Cricetulus griseus: one gene and its partners. The protein of the gene in region 1 interacts with the protein of each later gene in a biochemical or structural test. Links are inferred from orthologs where the notes say so. Each region holds a gene or a part of one and is shown on either strand. Other genes may lie near its edges. The genes, in order: Mapk8, Dusp10, Nr4a1, Mapk8ip3 and histone H2AX.

Region 1 (4,218 bases):
ATTACAGGCATGTATCACCACATATGGCTCAATTAACTCTTATACTAAATTTCCTTTCCAAGTAATTTCTCTAAGGATTAAAAGGAGCATGAAATATACAGTTTCCTAATATGCCACGACAGTTAAAGGGTACCCTTTTCATTAAAGGGACTTATTTATTAACAGAACCCATACTCTCTTCCTTTCAAACACCAGACTGCTTTTTTTTTTTTTTTAAGGGGGTTTTCTTTGTGGTACAATGATGCTCCAGAATGGTATAGTAGTGATCAATGCATAATTATGCAAGTAGACTAAACACCACTAAAAAATACTCTATGAGAGCCACTCTTTATGTGAATTAAATCTCAAGAAAGCTGTTTAAACAACAGAATTTAGAAGACAACCTAACTGAATTTATGCAGAGTCTGTCTGTGTGTGAGCCACTCAAATGATTTCTTAATTCCAGAGTCCCTTCTGGAACCTCATACACTTAGCTAGGTAAAGCAATAAAAGTTTGGTGCCCCAAGGTCTATCACTCAGAGTAATAGAATAATTTCCTTATTTTTCCATTCTTATTCTACAGTAAATAAGTTCATCTGAATGACTTTTCATATCGAAAAGAAATATTTTTTAAATAGTGGAAACGTGCCAAAACTTGGATAAATTCATAGTATTTTGCATTTTAAACCCATATGCTCTGTGAGATAGATAAGTACAAGCTAAAACCTGACCTTTCCAGTAAGCAACTCTAAAACATTAACCAGCTCTAGACTATTAGAAATAAAATATCTGTAAAACACATGTGGGTGTTGTGCTTTTCTACTCAAAGAAATCATAAAAACTTGTGAAATAATAGTGGGAAAAGATACATTCCCTAAAAGTCTGGGAATCTGGGTTTGATGTCTAGAACCCACTTAAAGGTAAAAGAAAATCAACCCCACAAAGTTGTCCTCTGGCTTCCACATGCACACAGAAGTATGTGTACCCCCTGCCCCAAAAAACACACCATGCACCCTAGATAGTAATTTTTTTTTTTTAGGGGAGAAAAATGAAATCATGTTAGATTCCTAATGAAACACCACTGTTAGGTCTGGGTTCATTCACACATCTGGCTGGAAAAAGCCCTTATCTAAAATATTGGAAGTGAACAAAGTACCCAACTTTGATGACAAAGTACCAAGTGAATGCCCCTTATCTGCAAAGGACTGTAAGTGTTTCAGATTTTGGAGTATCTCCGACTTTCAAGTTATGGATGCTCAACTTTTACACACATACTTAACAGACCCCCCACCACACACACACACAACACAATTTTCTACTTTATTAATTATATGCAAAAAATTCAGGGGTGGTCTTAAAATAGTGAATGCCCTGGAAGTAAAGCATAAAAACAAAAACAGTGATCCCAAACCCTCTTTTATCTTAACAGGTAGTATCCTCTACTAATTTACGATGCAGCCAACTGAGAGTGATGCTTGACACTTCTCAAACTTCGGGGGTGGGGGTGGGATTTAAAGCTTCCAATTTTCCTCTATAAACTTTTTTTTTTAATCAACTCAACGTGTATGACTTCCATGCTAGGTGCTGGAGAAATGATGCAAGATAGGCATCGAAGTACCATTTTGAGTGCTTGCTTTCATCATACACAGCAGTAAACATGTTCACTCAGAGAACCTGACCTCCCAGGTCTAACAGCCTGAGGTAACCATTAACAACGACAAGAAATTAGGGGAGTGGTGGTAAGATTTAAGAATAATGGTGGTATATTTAAGCAAATCTAGCTCTTCTTCACATTACCTATCACATTACCTTCAGAAGTTCTAATAAAACGAGGCAAATACCTTACTTAACATATATCACTTATATAACAGTCTTATTTAAAGGCACATCTATTCTATTCCAAAGTACCCTATTCGTAAGGGTCTTTCTCTTGGCCTTCACATCCTCTCCATCTGGATACAGTACTAACAGCTGCTGAATGAATGAATGAAATAAACAGATGTTCTAACTGACCAAAAGGTACTTGGCGGATGCTCATCTCAAAACACAATAGGCTGACAGACCAGAATTCTACTGAAAAGACCACTTGATTTCAGAAGTAGAAATAGCAACTACTGGACACCGTGCAGTCAACATGTTATTAAATTGCCGGTGGTATAGGGAACTTTCGGGAATGAAAATGCAAGGTGTTCCTTACGGTACTTTAAAATGGACTTGGATCTACCGTGTCTGGACTGGGAATCCAGGCACAAGACAAAGAGACAGCGGTGGGGGAAAGTCAAAAGGTCAGCGCCAGGAGCCCCTCTGAAGGCGCGGCCCGCAGGCCGGCGCGCTCGCGGCCACCCGGCCCTTCACGGCGTCGCGGCACTCACGTCCGCACAAAGAAACCGCCCACAGTCAAAACACGCTCCCCGTGGGTGCGGGAGACCTATGTACGGTCGCGTCGGCCCGATCTCCGCGAGAGCACCTCCGAACTTGCCGCCCACCGGCTCCATTCTCCCCGCGCAACGTGGAAACCGGCCAGAGTGGAGAAGCCAGGTCGCGCCGAGTGGACCACGCCCCCCGCTGCCCCGCCGCCCGCGCTATTGTTCCCGCGCCGCCCCCGCCCCGCGCGCGTTCCCGGAGGGGGTCACGGCCGGGGGAAGGCGGCGGCCGCCCGGGCCGCGGAGCCCGCGCACTCACCCGGCAGCGCAGCCAATGGCGACCGGGAAGCCCGTAGCGGTGAGCGGCGCCGTCCCGCGGTGGCCGCGGCCGCTACTCAGCCCTGCTCGCGGCTCCGCGTTCCGGCCGCGACGTCCGGCCTCGGCCGCTCCGCTGACTAACAGAGACGCGGGTCGTCAACGCGCACGCCCGCCCACGTCATCGCGCAGGGCCCCGCCCCCGCGCCTGCGAGCGGCCTGGGGGCGGAGCGGCCCCGGGGGCCCGGATTGTGAAGGCGTGGCCCAGTGACCGGGGGCGTGGCTACATTGGAGAGCAGGCGGCACTCGCGGAGGTCGCCGCGGGCCGCAACTGGGAAAGCCGCGTGTGAGGGGCGTGGCCGGGAGCAGCAGGGGGCGGGGCTGCGACGGCACGTGGCGGCGCGTGGCGGCGAAACACCAGTCATAGCCTAAGCCTGCTGGGCTGCCAGCTTGTGGAGGGGCGTTAGTGTTTGAAGGTCAGGCACGCATGTCAGTGCACACACGTGAGCCACGGAGAATCCTACTTGGACAGCCACTCTTCCAAGGCCTACCACCCACCAATAAGAAAATGTTCTCCAGCTCCCTGGAAAAAGTTACCCCCCCAAAAAATAAATGCTCCAGATTCTTTGCATTACCTGATATACCTCCAAAGCCTCGTGTCTCCTGCAAATATTAGCTATGGACTGATTAACTGGCCAGCCTAACCACCCGACAATGGATGGAAAGGCATTTAAATTACTATTATTCATTCAGTAGAGTATATTTATCCCTTTAAAGACAATGTGTTTGTTCAAAGGCATTTTTACCAACCAGAGAAAGTAACTTATAAGAGAAGGGAGCAAGAAACACGTACACATAGAATGATTACACATATATAAAAAATACATTACATGCACAGTATATACAAAAAAACATGGAAAGGAACATGATAGGTGTTTTGACAGTGGTGAATAAAGGGCAGTCTCTCCTGTGTGGTATCCTATGATTTCCAAAAATATATAAATATTTATCAAATAAAGTCAGCTGGATTATTATGTTCCAATTACACGTTGAGATGCTCTGTTTGCAGTGATGTGGTCATAAGGCAAATGTGAGCATTCATCCATCCATCCTCTCCCCATTTCGTCTCTCTCAACAATTCTTTTATTTATTTATTTATTTATTTATTTATTTTTATTTTATGTTCACTGGTGTTTTTTGCCTGCATGTTTGTCATGTGAAGGTGTCAGGACTACTGGAGCTGGAGTTGCAGATAGTGGTGAACTGCCATGAGGGTGCTGGGAATTGAACCTGGGTCCTCAAGAAGAGCACCCAGTGCTCTTAACAACTGACTCATCACTCCACCCGCCTCACCAATTCTTTATTTCCATACTTCCTTTATTTCTCCAGTGACTATTTTATCACTTGCCCATTCTCTTAAAGGCAGTGTTCTAGCACTAGCAGCAATTAGATCTTTCATAACAGAGAATTTCTGTTATGAAAGTAATTATACAAAACGTAAAAGTATCAACGTATAATACAAATTAAAAGGATACATCAGACTATGAAAGGAACCAATATA
Region 2 (4,001 bases), on another chromosome or scaffold:
GATATTTTTCTGGCGAGGCGCTGGCAGGCTTGTTCAGCTTCCCACTTCTCTTCCCCGGACACAGGCTGCGACTAGCGACCCCTCTGATGGCCAAAGTTCGGGGAACCGAGAAAGCTGGATTCGGCTCCTCCAAGCTCCTCCAGCGCCGCTCATTGTGGATGTTCACCACCCTAAACTCGGGCTCCTTCCCGCCCGCGCTTGCAGTTCCAGGCTGGCGCTCCTTGGCTCTCCGAGGGCTCTGCGCCACGGAGGGCCGACGGCCCAGCACCGCGGGGCGGATGGACTGCGAGTGCCAAGACACGGCGATCGGGGAGGTGGCAGCGGAAGGGGCCAGGACCGGGGTGGGCTGGGTTGAGGGCCGGTGCCGGGGCTGTGGCGCTGGTGGGCCGCTGGGCGAGCCCGGCCACGCCCAGCCTTGCGGGATGGCGCCCACGCCGCCGCTCAGCACGCGCCCCCAGTGGCCGCTGGAGTAGAGCCAAACCTCCTCCTCCGCGCAGCTCTCCGGGCTGCCACCTTCGAGTTCCGAGTCGGGCTCCTGTGAACACACCGGGGACGGCGGGGGAGTGACCGGGGCACGGAAGTAAGGGAACAGGAGCACGGCGCGCAGCCGCCGCGCGGGAGAGCAGTAGGGCAGCCGGAGAGGCAGCGACATCTGCGGGCCGGACAGAGCCGGGCTGCGGGGAGGCCGGCCCTGTGCGCGCTCACGTCCCGCGCTGCGCTGTCACGGCCATGGAGAGACCCGGCTTCGGGTCGCCTCCGGCCTCGGGAAAGTTGGCCGGACACTCCTGAGCCTCCACCCCGAGTCACGAAGTGGAATGGAGACCCCGCGAGGCCGGGGTCCGCCACGCCGGGAGAACCAGTTTCAGCCAGAGCGGCCAGTGCGAGCCATTGACACTTCAGCCCCGGGAAGGGTTAACCGCGTCTGGCGGCCGCCTAGGTTTACATGTAAATAGAGAGCTGCTGCTCCGCGCGGGCCCGGGCTGGCTCTTTTAAGTTTTTGATTGGTTGCCAATGACATCACCGCCCGCGTTCTAACACACCAAACCCAGCTTCGCGTCTGAGCGGGCCTCCTTCCCGCGGCGAGGCCACGCCTCTCTCTCCGCCCCCTCGGCCGTCTATTGGCCACAGGCCACTGTGAGGTAGCGGGCCGCGGGCTCTGGATCCTCATTGGTGCAGCGCGACGTCGCTCGGCGGTAGCCCCGCCCCCTCCGGAGCTTACATTTACGCTGTAGCAAAAGAGAAAGTAACTCTGTGTTGCTGCTGGGGATCAATGAAGCTGAGTGAATGGGGGCGCAGTGCGCGAGCGCATAGCTGGAGCCGGCGCCAGATGGTGGAGGGCTACGCTTATTGATGAAGTAAGTGGAAGTCATCGCGGCCACTCAGAGCCCGAGGCTGGAGGGTCCCGTGGGGTTGTGTGTGTGCGTGCGTGTGCGTGTGCGTGTGCGTGTGTGTGTGTGTGTGTGTGTGTGTGTGTGTGCGCGTGTGTGTGTGTGTAAGAGACAGAGAAATCCACATCAGTTAAGGAAGGTCCTAAGGTTTAGGCTTTTGGGTCTGGTTGCCCTGGGATGAAGGGGGAAAATGAGTTTTGGTTCGGTTAAGATGCTTTGTGGCAGTTTTCAAAGCCCAAGGCTTAGCTGATGCCCAGCGGTGGCGAGGAAGGGGGATGCTAAGTGCCCCAGAAGTGAGGAAGGAGCATTCCCTAACCACTTGAGGTTTTTTGCTCCAGTCCCTGTTTAGTGGGAGAAGGGAGACTAGCGAGGGACAGGGTAAGGGAGAAGCGCTATTTTTGAGGGAGGTTTCCCAGGGCCAGACTGGATGGCTTTGGAGCTATCTGCTGCAAGGATGCAGATTTCGGTGCACTCCGTGCCTGGGTGCGAGCCGTGCACTCAGTGTGGAGGTGCTGGTACCAGCCTGTCTCTGGGAACACGTTCTTGGGTCCTGCTCCTAGGGAATGGGCTACTGATCCCGGACGTCCTCTGCCAGGTAACACAATAGCAAAGACTTTGACTGCATCCATGGTCTAGCAGGGACACAGTTAAGCTTCTGGAATAGTACTCGCTCTGCAAATAAATAAAGTACTACGCAAGGGAGGCAGGCAGGGAGGTGAGGGAGGGAGGGAGGAAGGCAGGAGGAGGTTGGAGCCTTTGCTCCCATCCAAAGGTGGATGAGAGAAACCTGAGTCAGTGGGGATATGCCGACACGGGTGGGTACGTGCTCCTGTGTGTGCTTGTGTGGATTCTGCCGGTGACACTTTGGCTCGGTGTCAGAGAACGGTGACGGTCTTGAGTAGACCCATGATCCATAATGTTTTTCCAGGCAAATCTTAAAAGTTCGTTTAGGTGAGTGGCTCTTGCTTGGGGTTTGATTTCTTTGCTGTGTACATGTCTAGTAGAGGAGTCAGAATGGCTGTGTTTAGAGTGGCCTTGTGCCTAGGAGGAGGAGGGAAGTGACCCATTGCAGGCACCCTTGGGGGAAGGCAGAGGTAACCCCTGTGGGCACCACTTCCCAGCTTCCTAATTAGCCTGCCTGTGGTGAAGGAGCAAGTGAAGTTGCCTTCATGGAATCCATGCTGTCTCCAAGAGGGGACATCAGTATAGGAATGAAAAAATCTTTTAGAGTTGCTACTCCAATGTCAATGCAAAGTCTGTACCACCCGGATGAAATCCAAACCCTTCTTTGCTTAGGGGCACAGCACAGGGAGGGGTCAAGGGTGAGCTGGGCCAAGGAAGAAGGGGTCATGATGGGTCAGCAGCCCGAGTTGGGGTTCCCAGACCTGACTCCTTTTGGGACTTGGTTTTAGGACAGTTAGTGCGGCTTGGTTTGGAAGAGGCTCACAGAAGACATGAGGGCTTTGAAGAGGACTGCATTGAGGTTTTCAAAGGGGCCGCCAGAAAGGGAAGCAAGCAAGATTAGCTCCTAGTCCAGGAGACTGACTTAGGAAGACACGTTCGTTCCTCATTAGCAGAAAGTTGACATCTGCCCCCATGTAAATTTAGCTGCCACGCATTTCTGTGCATCTCTGTGAGCTCTGGCAATGCTCTTGCTTATCTCTTTGCCTTGGCAGTGGGCAAAGAAATGAAACAGAATACATGCCAGGGTGGACAAATGCATCCATCACAGGTGAAATAGACTCCTGCCCAGGAGAGGAGGCTCAGAATAAATCTAAGAGCCTCCCTGTCAGGTCTTCATTGTTCCCAGTTCTCGGTGCCTTTATGTCCGTGAAGGCTGAACTTTGATTGGGTCCCTGAAAGGATGCCAATTACCATTTCTAACCTCACTTCCAATTTTAACCTTCGACTTAGCATCAGAATGCATGGGGTCCCTCAAGGATGTGTCCTCTCTGAATACATCAAAGTGAATTTCAGGCTTTGATGGCATCATGACCAAGGGCACCTGGGAGGATGCTGACTTTGCTCTGAGATATGCAGAGGTCTTTCCCAGGGATTGGATGAGACTGCCTTTTGTGCCACATGACTTTATTCTTTCTTTCCTTCTTCCCCTTCTTTACAGACTCTTGAGTTCTTCTTGAATTGCCAGTTTTCAGCCTCCTCATGCCTCCATCTCCTTTAGACGACAGGGTAGTAGTGACACTGTCTAGGCCTGTCCGACCTCAGGATCTCAACCTTTGTTTAGACTCTAGCTACCTTGGCTCTGCCACCCCAGGCAGCAGTAGCCACCCTCCTGTCATTGCCACCGCTGTTGTGACCCTCAAGGCTGCGAATCTGACGTATATGCCCTCATCCAGCGGCTCTGCCCGCTCCCTCAATTGTGGATGCAGCAGTACTAGCTGCTGTACGGTGACAACCTACGACAAGGATCACCAGGCCCAGACTCAAGCCATTGCCGCTGGCACTGCCACCACCGCCATAGGAACCTCGACCACCTGCCCTGCTAACCAGATGGTCAACAACAATGAGAACACAGGCTCTTTAAGTCCATCGGGTGGGGTGGGCAGCCCTGTGTCAGGGACTCCCAAGCAGCTAGCCAGCATCAAAATCATC
Region 3 (3,514 bases), on another chromosome or scaffold:
GAAAGAGATGGGTGTACGCGCGGGGGAAAGGATGTCTTCGGGTCGGCGTGCGAGAAGGGGTGTGCAGAGTGCATCTGTGGTATTAAGGGTAGCTCTTGGAGTGGGGTGAGCGCGAACTTGAGGTTTGGGGAGTGGGTAAAGGATCTGCAAGGTGGTTGGTGCCGGTAGGTAGTGGAGGCTCGTCCAGCGGTTGTTGTGTTGTTTTGTTTTTTCCCAGGGCGCCCAAACAGGCACGCCATACTCTGTGTTTGGGTGCCGATTGTGGGGTGGCGGGTGTATGAGTATGTTGCAGGGAGAAAGTATACAGTAGAGCTTCCGCGCTGCTGGGATCTATCCAACTCCATGTAGGACTGAATTTCCACGGGTCTCCTTTCCAGGCTATCAACCTCTTTCCCAGTTGTTTACTTAACACTTTATAGGCTGTAGTTAAAATTTCAGATTCCCCTACTGAACTTTGTGTATGAACTGTGCAGGAAGACCTGGGTCTTGCTGAAGGAAATGGCTAGCTAGATTGGCGGGGTGATTGCGGTGTTGGACTAAGTTGGCACAGTCAGGGTATCTAGAAGCAAAGGATTGTTTTAGCTATACCCTGGCGCAGTCGTGGAAAGGGGCACGTGGGGACTGGGTGAAAGTTGCTCTGCTGTAGTGTGGCACTGACTTGGGAGGGGATTACCCTCCCCTCAATCCAGACAGGCTTGCAGATCACCCCAGTGGTCCCCATTGAATCTGCTAAGTAGGGTGCAGCCTGAGGTTTGTTCACCTGACAACAGGTGCAAGCCACTGTGTTGCCAGGACCTGACCCAAGCCGGATTCTCCAACTCCCTCCTTCAGCCCCGCCTCTTCCTCCTCCCCCCTCCTTGGGACTACCTCCCCCAACACCCCAGGAGACTAGATGCAGGTCTGTATCTCGTGTTGCTGACTATCTGCCTGAAGCAGGGTAGATTGGTGGGGGTTGATCCGGATGTAGGATGTCCAAGTGGAGAAACAGGATTTGAATGAGGCTGGAACAGATGCCCAGTCCTGACTGGCTGCCACCTTTCCTCCTCCACCCCCAACCCATCCCTGCCTAGACAGAAGTGGCCATGTTTATTTCTCACAGGTGCTGTATGCTTGAGGGACCTACCACTGTGCAGGCAGGGCTAGAACTTGGGGGCGGGGGCACTGTTTTTTGGGAGGCTGCATGTCAGGCCAGGGGTGGAACTGTCCTGTCCAGGCACCTAGGGGTGGGGTGGGGTTGGGAGAAATACTGGGACTAGAGGGCTTCAAGGGCCTTCTGGCAAGCAAGTGGTGACAGTCGTTGCCCCATTACTATCCCTTCCTCTGCTCCAGCTTGATTTTCTATGTGGCTTGCCTTCCCTACTAGAAAGGCTACACTGTACAGACCCTAGTCTTGGAAGGGACACTAGGTCCTGAAGCTTCCTCTGCAAGATTTCTGACCAGATACAAACTTAAGAGTCTCCCTGGAATGGTACTATCTCTGATATTTCAGATGCTCCAGTGTGTGTGTGTGTGTGTGTGTGTGTGTGTGTGTGTGTGTGTGTGTGTATGTGTGTGGCTTTGGCAAGTCCCTGGATGCTACAGGAAACAGACATCTGCTTTATCAGAGGGGTATGGGCAGGGGCAGGTTGTCCTCATGCATCTACCAGTAGGCTCCTGTACTCTTTGTATCCTGCTGGACTCTGAGTGTCCTCTTATAAAAATGATCGGGCTAGCTGAGAAAATTTGCCTGTGTGCTCAGAGGCTCCTCTCTGGGTCTTCCTGCTCACCTGAGGAGTCCCTCACCTCCCTGCAATATATAGAATTTAAGACTTTTTTCTTAACTATTTTTAACTGTGTGTGTGCACATGAATCCTACAAGGCTAGAGGCATCAGAGCTGGAGTTAGAGGTTGTTGTGAGCCACCTGATGTGGAATTGGGAACTGAACTCAGGACCTCTGGAAGAGCAGCACATGCTCTTAACCACTGAGCCATCTCTCCAGCCCCCAGTGTATGTGGTATTTAAACATCTGTAGACATGCTACCCAGTAATTCCCTTAACTCCTGGAAACATTCCAGAAAGTACAGAGTGGGTGCACAGTCCCAGATAGAAGGACTGGGTGCCTGTGGGATCAGCACACAGCGCTGAAGTGGGGCTGGGATCTGAGGCTGCTTTGCTAAGGCCACTGTGGTAGACAGTTGTACCGTGACCCACAGCTTCTCCTCCAGTTCCAGGATGTCTGTCTCCACTGACACTGTGGGGGGAAGTGAGGAAGGGGTATGCAGAGCCTGGGGTGTGCCTGGGAATGTATTCCCAGGAAGTGTCTGGTTGAAAAATCAGCAGATCTGCTCCTGGGGGCTGGGCCGAAGCTCTGTGGGTTGCCTCTCCCAGCCCCCACCCGTGAACAGGAGGCTGGGGGTTGGAGGAACACAGCTTCCCCCTGTTCCTGCAGGGAAGTTCTGGCTAGATGCCTTCCCTAGGGTTCCCAGGCCCACTGGGGTGTGGCTGGCCTTCTGACTGAGCCCTCTTGGACTGGGTCTCTGCCCATGAGCTTTGTGGCTTGTAGACTGAGATAGTGCTTGGGCTGGGGGATCAGGACTCCTGGGTTCTGTGGTCCTGTGGCCTGCCTCATTTCTAGGCCTGCCACCTGGCTGCCCTGGCTCTTATTGACTCCTCCCCTTCCCTCCCTTGGGTCTCCTCCCTCTCCAGAGATGCCCTGTATCCAAGCCCAATATGGAACACCAGCAACAAGCCCAGGACCGCGTGACCACCTGACAAGTGACCCCCTGGCCCTTGAGTTCAGCAAGCCTACCATGGACCTGGCCAGCCCCGAGGCAGCACCCACTGCACCCACTACCCTGCCCAGCTTCAGCACCTTCATGGACGGGTACACCGGAGAGTTTGACACCTTCCTATACCAGCTGCCGGGGACAACCCAGCCATGCTCCTCAGCTTCTTCGTCAGCCTCCTCCACATCTTCTTCCTCATCTTCGGCCACCTCTCCCGCTTCTGCTTCCTTCAAGTTTGAGGACTTCCAGGTGTACGGCTGTTATCCCGGCACCCTGAGTGGCCCGTTAGATGAGACCCTGTCCTCCAGCGGCTCTGATTACTATGGCAGTCCCTGCTCAGCCCCCTCGCCATCCACACCCAGCTTCCAGCCACCCCAGCTCTCTCCCTGGGATGGCTCATTTGGTCACTTCTCCCCCAGCCAGACTTATGAAGGCCTTCGGGCATGGACAGAGCAGTTGCCCAAGGCTTCTGGGCCCCCCCCACCTCCAACCTTCTTCTCCTTCAGTCCCCCAACTGGTCCTAGCCCCAGCCTGGCCCAGAGTTCCCTGAAGTTGTTCCCACCACCAGCCACCCACCAGGTTGGGAAGGGAGAGAGCTATTCCATGCCAGCAGCTTTCCCTGGCTTGGCACCCACTTCTCCGAACCTTGACACTTCTGGGATTCTGGATGCACCTGTGACCTCCACCAAGGCCCGGAGTGGGGCTTCAAGTGGCAGTGAGGGGCACTGTGCCGTATGTGGAGACAATG
Region 4 (4,022 bases), on another chromosome or scaffold:
AGGTTAGTAGATTTAGAAACTTTCCCAGAACTATAGATTTTGATGGATTAGGTCTATTGTTTTCATTTTTGGCAGGTGGTGCTGTCTACATGCTTAATTTTACAGCATGAAAGGCACTTCCATGATGGAGTCAGTTGTGTAACTTCTGGGGGCCCTGTTGCAAAACAATCTCTTCGGGAATGTAAGTATTTGTCTCTATAGCAGTGCTGGGATTAAAGGCTTGCACCAAGTGGTGATTGTGCACGCCTTTAATCCCATCACTGGGGAGGCAGAGATAGGTGGATCTCGGACTTTAAGACCAGTATGGTCTATAGAGTGAGTTCCAGGATAGCCAGGGCAACATAGAGAAACCCTGACTCGAAGAAACCAAAACAACTACAAAAAGCTAAACAAATTGTTTGAAAGGGCGAGGGATTTATAGCTCCAGTGACGGTATGTGCACTTAGTCCTAGCTGAATAGCAGAAGCAGGCAGATCTATAAGAGTTTGAGGCCAGGCATAACGTGTTCCAGGTTAGCCAGTGCTGCACAGTAAGAACTTGTCGAGACACACACACACACACACACACACACACACACACACACACACACACACGTGTGAAATTGTGAGCAATGTTTTTAAGTGTTCTGGATATCAGCTACAGGACTCATTAGGTTGGTGTGGTTAGGAGTAAGATCTGGTGGCTGAGACACGGCTCAGCGGTTGAAAGAACTTGCTTTTACAGAGGAGGTCCTCTGTTCAGTTCTGTCCAGCCATAATGGACTGTAACCCCAGTTCAGACGCCCTCTTCTGGGAGGGGGGAAATCATCTGTTAGCAGAAAGCAGTCAGTAAACCACGAGGTGCCACAGTTCAAAGTCAGGCTCATGGTGTCCCCAGCAAATAAACACAAATAGATCGACTAGCTTTATATTCCGGCCTCAAAGTACTGCTACACATAAGGACCCCAGAACCCAGGCGGACGGTGCAGATGAACCACTGCTATGAACTAAGAAACATCCAGAAACGGCACACGACACATGTCGAGGCCGGCTAGAGTATATTACCAAAGCCCGAAGACAGAGACACAGACTCAACCACATGTTTCCAGCCCCAAAGAGCTACACAAACACCACCGGCTTCGCGACCGGAACTTCCCATCCGCGTTTCTTCTGGCGTCAGGGGTCACGACCCAGGGCGGGGCAGGACGAGGCTCCACCCCCGCGGCTAGGCGGGACTTCCGGCAAGGGAGTGACGGGCGCGGCCTGGGCGGCGGCGCATCCTAAGGTGGCGGCTGCCTGAGGTGATAGCGGCCCGTGGACTCGGGCACAGGAACGAGCCGCGCTGGCGGCGGCGGCGGTCGCCGCGATGATGGAGATCCAGATGGACGAGGGTGGAGGTGTGGTGGTGTACCAAGACGACTATTGCTCGGGCTCGGTTATGTCGGAGCGTGTGTCGGGCCTGGCGGGCTCCATCTACCGTGAGTTCGAGCGCCTCATCCACTGCTATGACGAGGAGGTGGTCAAGGAGCTCATGCCGCTGGTGGTGAACGTGCTGGAGAACCTGGACTCGGTGCTGAGCGAGAACCAGGAGCACGAGGTGGAGTTGGAGCTCCTACGCGAGGACAACGAGCAGCTGCTCACGCAATACGAGCGCGAGAAGGCGCTGCGCAAACAGGCCGAGGAGGTGCGTGGGCCCCGGCCGCCGCGGAGGGGCACGGGGTGGGTAGCGGGGTGCAGCCAGCCCGGCCCAGGCGGCAGAATGCTGCCGATGGAAGTGCCGCTTTCTCTGTCCAGTTTGGACCCATAGCCCAGCCTGTGCAGAGCCCGGGAGACAGGGGCTCCCCCATTCCTGCTCTCCTCTGACCTTGGCTGCCGCCTGCTGTCTCTGAGTTTTTAATCCTTCAGTCCTTTGAGCAAGTTGCCTTATATGATCGCAAAGCCCAGAAATTCTACTATTCTGGGAGTAAATGCTCTTAGGTTTATGGTGGGAAGTGGCTCCTTATATGAAGTTAAATTCCATTTTAGTGAAGTTGACACAGTCTTAGAAACTACTACTGAAGTTAAGAGACATTTTGGTATGTTGGCTTCTTAAATCAATGGCCCCCTGTCCCGGTTTATATTGTTTATATTGAATTATTCCTACTTACTGTGTTTTTACTTTACTCTTGACTGTTGAGATGCTGCTGTTTCAGAATTGGGATGCGCAGGCAACACTTGCTTGGCTTGCTCAAGTTCTCAACATAGGGGATTTAAATGCTCTAAGGATGTGCGGAGGGCCCAGGGCGAACACAGACCTTTTACTGAGGTGGTTACTGGCTCCAGAAAGTGTCTGGGCTAGACCAAGGTCACACACTGACCACTGACAAAAGGACAGGCCAAATTACAGGGTAGACTTTGGCACCAGCCCCTGGGCTTTACCTTTGGGGTCATATTGCTGCATAGTGGGGCAGTTCCCCAGAAGTCTGCAGTGTTCTGTCCTTGTAGCCCAACCCTGGAGCTGAGACTTGTGCCTGAAGTCACTGTCCATGGTCTTGAATTCTAGAGACTTTTGATGCTTTGACAGAGAATTTGGGTATTTTTTCCCTTGCCCCTGTACTTACATAGTCATGATCACTGATGTGGAGGAAAAGGAGAAAATGAAGGTGGACAGCTGTAAGGCTGAGTTAAAACCTTGTAATTTAAAAATGGGCTCTGCCTGGAATAGGCACCTGCTCCATGTGGTGTCAACACTGTTCCTGGGGAAGATGTCTCTGCCCTCCAACTTAATCACAAGCTGGACTAAGCTGTGAGTGTGCATGTGGCTTGCAGAGGGAGGCACTCACTGCCAAGACCCAGCTCTTTAAGTTGAGCAAAGCAAGAAGTAAACAGATGCTGGGCTGGCTAGGGGAAGCTGTTGTTCAATGCCCACAGTATGCCCTTGAAGGAACCACCAGTGAGGTTAAAACTAAAGAGCAACTAAACACTGATGGCATTCTAGATATTTTGTGGATTGGAGTGGGTGGTTCTGTTAAAAACAATCAACAACAAAACCCCACAAACTACTGTGTACTGCTGGCCAGCTTCCTTTTCTGGACAGGGACTTACGATCAGATGGGTGTGATATGCCAGGAGTTATGCATCACTGGATGCAGACTTGTCATGGTGCAGGAGAGTGCTGTCCTAGGCACTTTGCTTGTTTAGTCTTAGAGGTGGGTAACCTGAGCTGCTGGCAGCCTTTGGAGAAGACAAAATCTTCAAGATTTTTTGTTTGTTTGTTTGTTTGTTTTTCAAGACAGAGTTTCTCTAGGTAGCCCTTGCTGTCCTATAACCATGGTGACTTCTAACTCACAAGGATCTGCCTTCCTCTGCCTCCTGAGTGCTGGGATTAAAGACATGTGGTACCACCACACTGCAGGCTTTTTAAAAATTCTTAAACATCTTAGTCCTGTACTTCTTATCCTGATACCAGGTGGTTCATTCTCTAGAGCTCAGGACCTGGGAGGAGGGACTCAGCTGTAGAGTTTGCAGATGCCTGTCTGGCCATCCTACCCTCAGGGACCACATACCTTACCCAGCCTCTCTCAGACCTTCAGTTGTAGCTGTCTTATAAAGTGAGTGGGATGTTGGCCATTGGTGTCCCAGAAAGACAATTGTGGCAAGGTAGATTTAGCAGTGAGAACAGGGTCCCTAATGTAGTTTCAGGGACGGTATTCAGCCGTGGATGGCATGGTTTGGGCCTTGTAATCTGTTGCGTTGTTACTGATTGGTAAGATACTAACAGTGTTTTTATCCCAACATCCTTTCCCATTGGAAGAAGGATTAGAAAAGGGCTAGCCTTTTTCCTTGCAATAGGCAAGCCCTTAGATAATAGGAAGAAAAATTATGTTTGAAAGACAATATTAGTGTTACTACTTCCTTAGTCTTCTAACGATAAAGAATGTGCTAGGAAGCCTTCTATAGCTCATCTCAAGCGACTCAGGTGGGTCCTTTGGATATTTACTGATGATGCGGCGTTTGCTTCTACACAACGAATCCAAATGGAAGAGTTTGATCCAAGATTTATTT
Region 5 (3,108 bases), on another chromosome or scaffold:
CTAGAGTTAGGGCCCTATACTCCAAGGTAACCTCACATTTGACTTTAAAATTAAGTGTTCTGATTAGGAAGATCAGAGGCAGGGCCATGTGCTCAAAATGGTGACAATAAAGGATTGTCTTTTACTTGCTTCTCTCCCTCAACCTCTTTTTCTAGCCTTTGAGATACTTGAGGACTGAACTCTTTTTTTTTTTTTTTTTTTTTTTTTTGGTTTTTCGAGACAGGGTTTCTCTGTATAGCTTTGGAGCCTATCCTGGCACTCGCTCTGGAGACCAGGCTGGCCTCGAACTCACAGAGATCCACCTGCCTCTGTCTCCCAGTGCTGGGATACAAGGCTTGTGCAACCAACATCCGGCCTGAGGACTGAACTTTGTTAAGTGCTCTACCACTGAATAAATCTATACATCTATCCCCTATTTATCTTTCGTATGGGCATTTTAGGATCGATTGGAAGGGTTGGGGTGGGTACCCTTTCCAAGAGAATACCTACCTCTGTTCCATCAGACCCCTTCCTGCAAGAAGTGACAGAACTGAAACCAGACAGAACATGTTGAATAAATATTAAAATACTAACTTGTCGTAGCACAAAGGATCACAGCACTCAGTTTTCTGGCATAGGATTGTACTCTCAGGTTTCATTTCTTCTCCTTTAAACCCTCCCTTTGCCAAATTTGAGGAGGGCGTGGGAGTGCCCCTGACCTGGAAGGAGAACTCTTTCCCTTTTTAACTTTTGTTAAAATGTTTTTCGAAACAGGGTTTCCCCTTGTAACCCTGGCTGTCCTGGAACTCGCTTTGTTACCAGGCTAAGCTTGAACTCAGAGCTCCCCCTTCCTCCGCTTCCTGAGTGCTTGAATTAAAGGTGTGCACCACTATCGCTCGGCTAACCCTTTTACTTTAAAACCCTTGGCCGGCCCAGATTTCCCAGAGACAGTCATGCGCCTCCAGACTCCACCTTCCTAGTCTTCCGGTTCTGGTGGCGCGCAATAGCGTTTAAATTTCGCGCGCTTAATAAGGATTGGCCACTTCCATGGATGATTAGCCTGCTGTTTGCGGCCACTCCGCCTTGCTTTCTTCCCCGGGTAAAAGGTTTTCAAATTGGACCAATCGCTGGGCGAGCTCTTTTCGCCTAGGCGCGTCACCGAAGGGTTAATTCCAACCAACCAGAGGCCGGTACTGGGGAAAAGAGCCAATCAGGGGGAGGCGGGGGCGTGTCCATGGAGTTTATAAGGGCGAGCTCGCCCGCGCGCGGCGACAGTTGACTGCGGCGGTTGGCAGTTTTCTTTCGTCGTCGGTGTTGCTCTCTGCTTTCTACCTCGTATACGATGTCGGGTCGCGGTAAAACCGGAGGCAAGGCCCGCGCCAAGGCGAAATCGCGCTCCTCGCGCGCCGGTCTACAATTCCCGGTAGGCCGCGTGCATCGGCTGCTGAGGAAAGGCCACTATGCCGAGCGCGTGGGAGCCGGCGCCCCGGTGTACTTGGCGGCCGTGCTCGAGTACCTCACCGCTGAGATTCTGGAGCTGGCGGGCAACGCGGCGCGGGACAACAAGAAGACGCGCATCATCCCGCGCCACCTGCAGCTGGCCATCCGCAACGACGAGGAGCTCAACAAGCTTCTGGGCGGCGTGACGATCGCTCAGGGCGGCGTCCTGCCCAACATCCAGGCCGTGCTGCTGCCCAAGAAGACGAGCGCCACCGTGGGGCCCAAGGCGCCGGCGAGCGGCAAGAAGGCCACCCAGGCCTCTCAGGAGTACTGAGGGAGCCCGCGCCCTGGCCGCCCAGCCCTCCCCACACCTCCACAAAGGCCCTTTTAAGGGCCACCACCTCCCTCACGGAAAGAGCTGAGCCACTTAGGGCTGCGGGCCGGGCCGCCGCGTTCCCATTCTCTTCCCCTTTCTCTGCCATCGCGCGTTTCTGCCTCCCCTTCCCTGCACGGCCTCCGGGTCAGGCGCCGCGGTACTTATCCATCGCGGAGCTTCGCCGGTCTCCGTCTCGATGGGCCGCGCGGAGAGGTTGCGACACCTTCCAGAAGTGTCGGCCTTTTGCTGTGACGTACGGCTGAGGTGGGCCTGAAGGTGAGTTACTCTGCAGCTGCAACCCGGGCGTCCTTTCTTCAGCTTGGTGCTTTAGCCCTCGCCTGGACCTTCCAGAAGTGACTTGATTACCAGGCTTTGGTGAAGAGAAATGGATCATATTGTTTGGTCCTGTGTTTTCCCCTTCGTTGGCCTCATACCAGTTTACCCCATCTTCGTTCATCGGCCGGTGTGTGGTGTGGCCGGGACAAAATCACTGTAATATGAGCTGGTTTTCTCCAGGATGCCTCCTGGAAAGGGTTTGGGAGAAGCTTACAGGCCTGTGGACAGAAGAGCTGTGTTCTTGCCGCAGGAGACTGGCAGCCGGGCCTAGCTATCCCCTTTTCTTCCCAGCGACTCAATTCACAACCCAAACACCTAGATACCAGCACAAGTCGGTGAATCCCTATCTGGACTGAGCCTCTACTGGCTTCTGAACTGGAATTTTGCAGCTATCCCAAGTTTAGAACCTTAGGTAGTGGGGAGTTTCAATGGGCTAATTTTATTAAATGGTTGTTCTGTTTTTTTAAAAGATGGAGTGTCTTGATTAATTTCGAATTGCTGTAGGCCCGGGGTTGGGGTTCTATAGCTCCGTGGTAGAGCCATGTACCTGGCATGTGTTGTGTTGGGAGGTGGGAGTGGAATTGTAAGTTCCCTTAGAGCAGTGGGGATGGGCAAGACTGTAATACAAGTAGGTTCTGTTAACTGAAAACAGGCAGGCTGTAGGAATTGAGGCAGTTTTCTCTTTGCTCGGTGCTTCCTGGGATGCATTCTGAGAACATGAGGCAATTAGAAAGTATTTCAACAGAGAAGTCCCAGACTCAGAATTCAGGTTTAAAAGGGCTTTGGGTTTATTTATATTTTCCCCAATTCCACCAAAACAACCACATTGAGAGCTGGTTTAATATTAGTGGCATTGGTTACATTCGAGATTGGCACTGACTTTTTCTAAAGAGATGAAGCCCTAACTACTGAGGAGGAAAGGCGCAGTCATCAAGGCCCCAAGGTGATTCGTGTCTCTGGAAGTCTCAACACCCTGT

What was found.
Region 2: the proteins of Mapk8 (region 1) and Dusp10 form a complex in vitro, tested with the Homo sapiens proteins (2 studies listed by BioGRID, with this or other methods). The link is inferred for Cricetulus griseus from reciprocal best matches to the Homo sapiens genes MAPK8 and DUSP10.
Region 3: of the proteins of Mapk8 (region 1) and Nr4a1, one has a biochemical effect on the other in vitro, tested with the Homo sapiens proteins (2 studies listed by BioGRID). The link is inferred for Cricetulus griseus from reciprocal best matches to the Homo sapiens genes MAPK8 and NR4A1.
Region 4: the proteins of Mapk8 (region 1) and Mapk8ip3 form a complex in vitro, tested with the Homo sapiens proteins (3 studies listed by BioGRID, with this or other methods). The link is inferred for Cricetulus griseus from reciprocal best matches to the Homo sapiens genes MAPK8 and MAPK8IP3.
Region 5: the proteins of Mapk8 (region 1) and histone H2AX form a complex in vitro, tested with the Homo sapiens proteins (2 studies listed by BioGRID, with this or other methods). The link is inferred for Cricetulus griseus from reciprocal best matches to the Homo sapiens genes MAPK8 and H2AX.

What each region holds. Positions count from the first base shown.
Region 1 is NW_023276807.1:185,964,183-185,968,400, reverse strand, and holds the start of Mapk8 (mitogen-activated protein kinase 8), read right to left. Parts: upstream 2,813-4,218; 5' UTR 2,662-2,812; intron 1-2,661. UniProt on the Homo sapiens protein: Serine/threonine-protein kinase involved in various processes such as cell proliferation, differentiation, migration, transformation and programmed cell death.
Region 2 is NC_048598.1:10,588,798-10,592,798, reverse strand, and holds the start of Dusp10 (dual specificity protein phosphatase 10), read left to right. Parts: upstream 1-1,197; 5' UTR 1,198-1,355; intron 1,356-3,510; 5' UTR 3,511-3,551; coding exon 3,552-4,001. Other genes in the region: uncharacterized protein LOC100773462, read right to left, coding at 1-652. UniProt on the Homo sapiens protein: Protein phosphatase involved in the inactivation of MAP kinases. Has a specificity for the MAPK11/MAPK12/MAPK13/MAPK14 subfamily. It preferably dephosphorylates p38.
Region 3 is NC_048595.1:397,707,156-397,710,669, forward strand, and holds part of Nr4a1 (nuclear receptor subfamily 4 group A member 1), read left to right. Parts: intron 1-2,686; 5' UTR 2,687-2,688; coding exon 2,689-3,514. UniProt on the Homo sapiens protein: Orphan nuclear receptor. Binds the NGFI-B response element (NBRE) 5'-AAAGGTCA-3'. Binds 9-cis-retinoic acid outside of its ligand-binding (NR LBD) domain.
Region 4 is NC_048600.1:44,531,468-44,535,489, reverse strand, and holds the start of Mapk8ip3 (C-Jun-amino-terminal kinase-interacting protein 3), read left to right. Parts: upstream 1-1,218; 5' UTR 1,219-1,344; coding exon 1,345-1,662; intron 1,663-4,022.
Region 5 is NC_048597.1:156,021,663-156,024,770, forward strand, and holds histone H2AX, read left to right. Parts: upstream 1-1,240; 5' UTR 1,241-1,321; coding exon 1,322-1,753; 3' UTR 1,754-2,596; downstream 2,597-3,108. UniProt on the Homo sapiens protein: Variant histone H2A which replaces conventional H2A in a subset of nucleosomes. Nucleosomes wrap and compact DNA into chromatin, limiting DNA accessibility to the cellular machineries which require DNA as a template.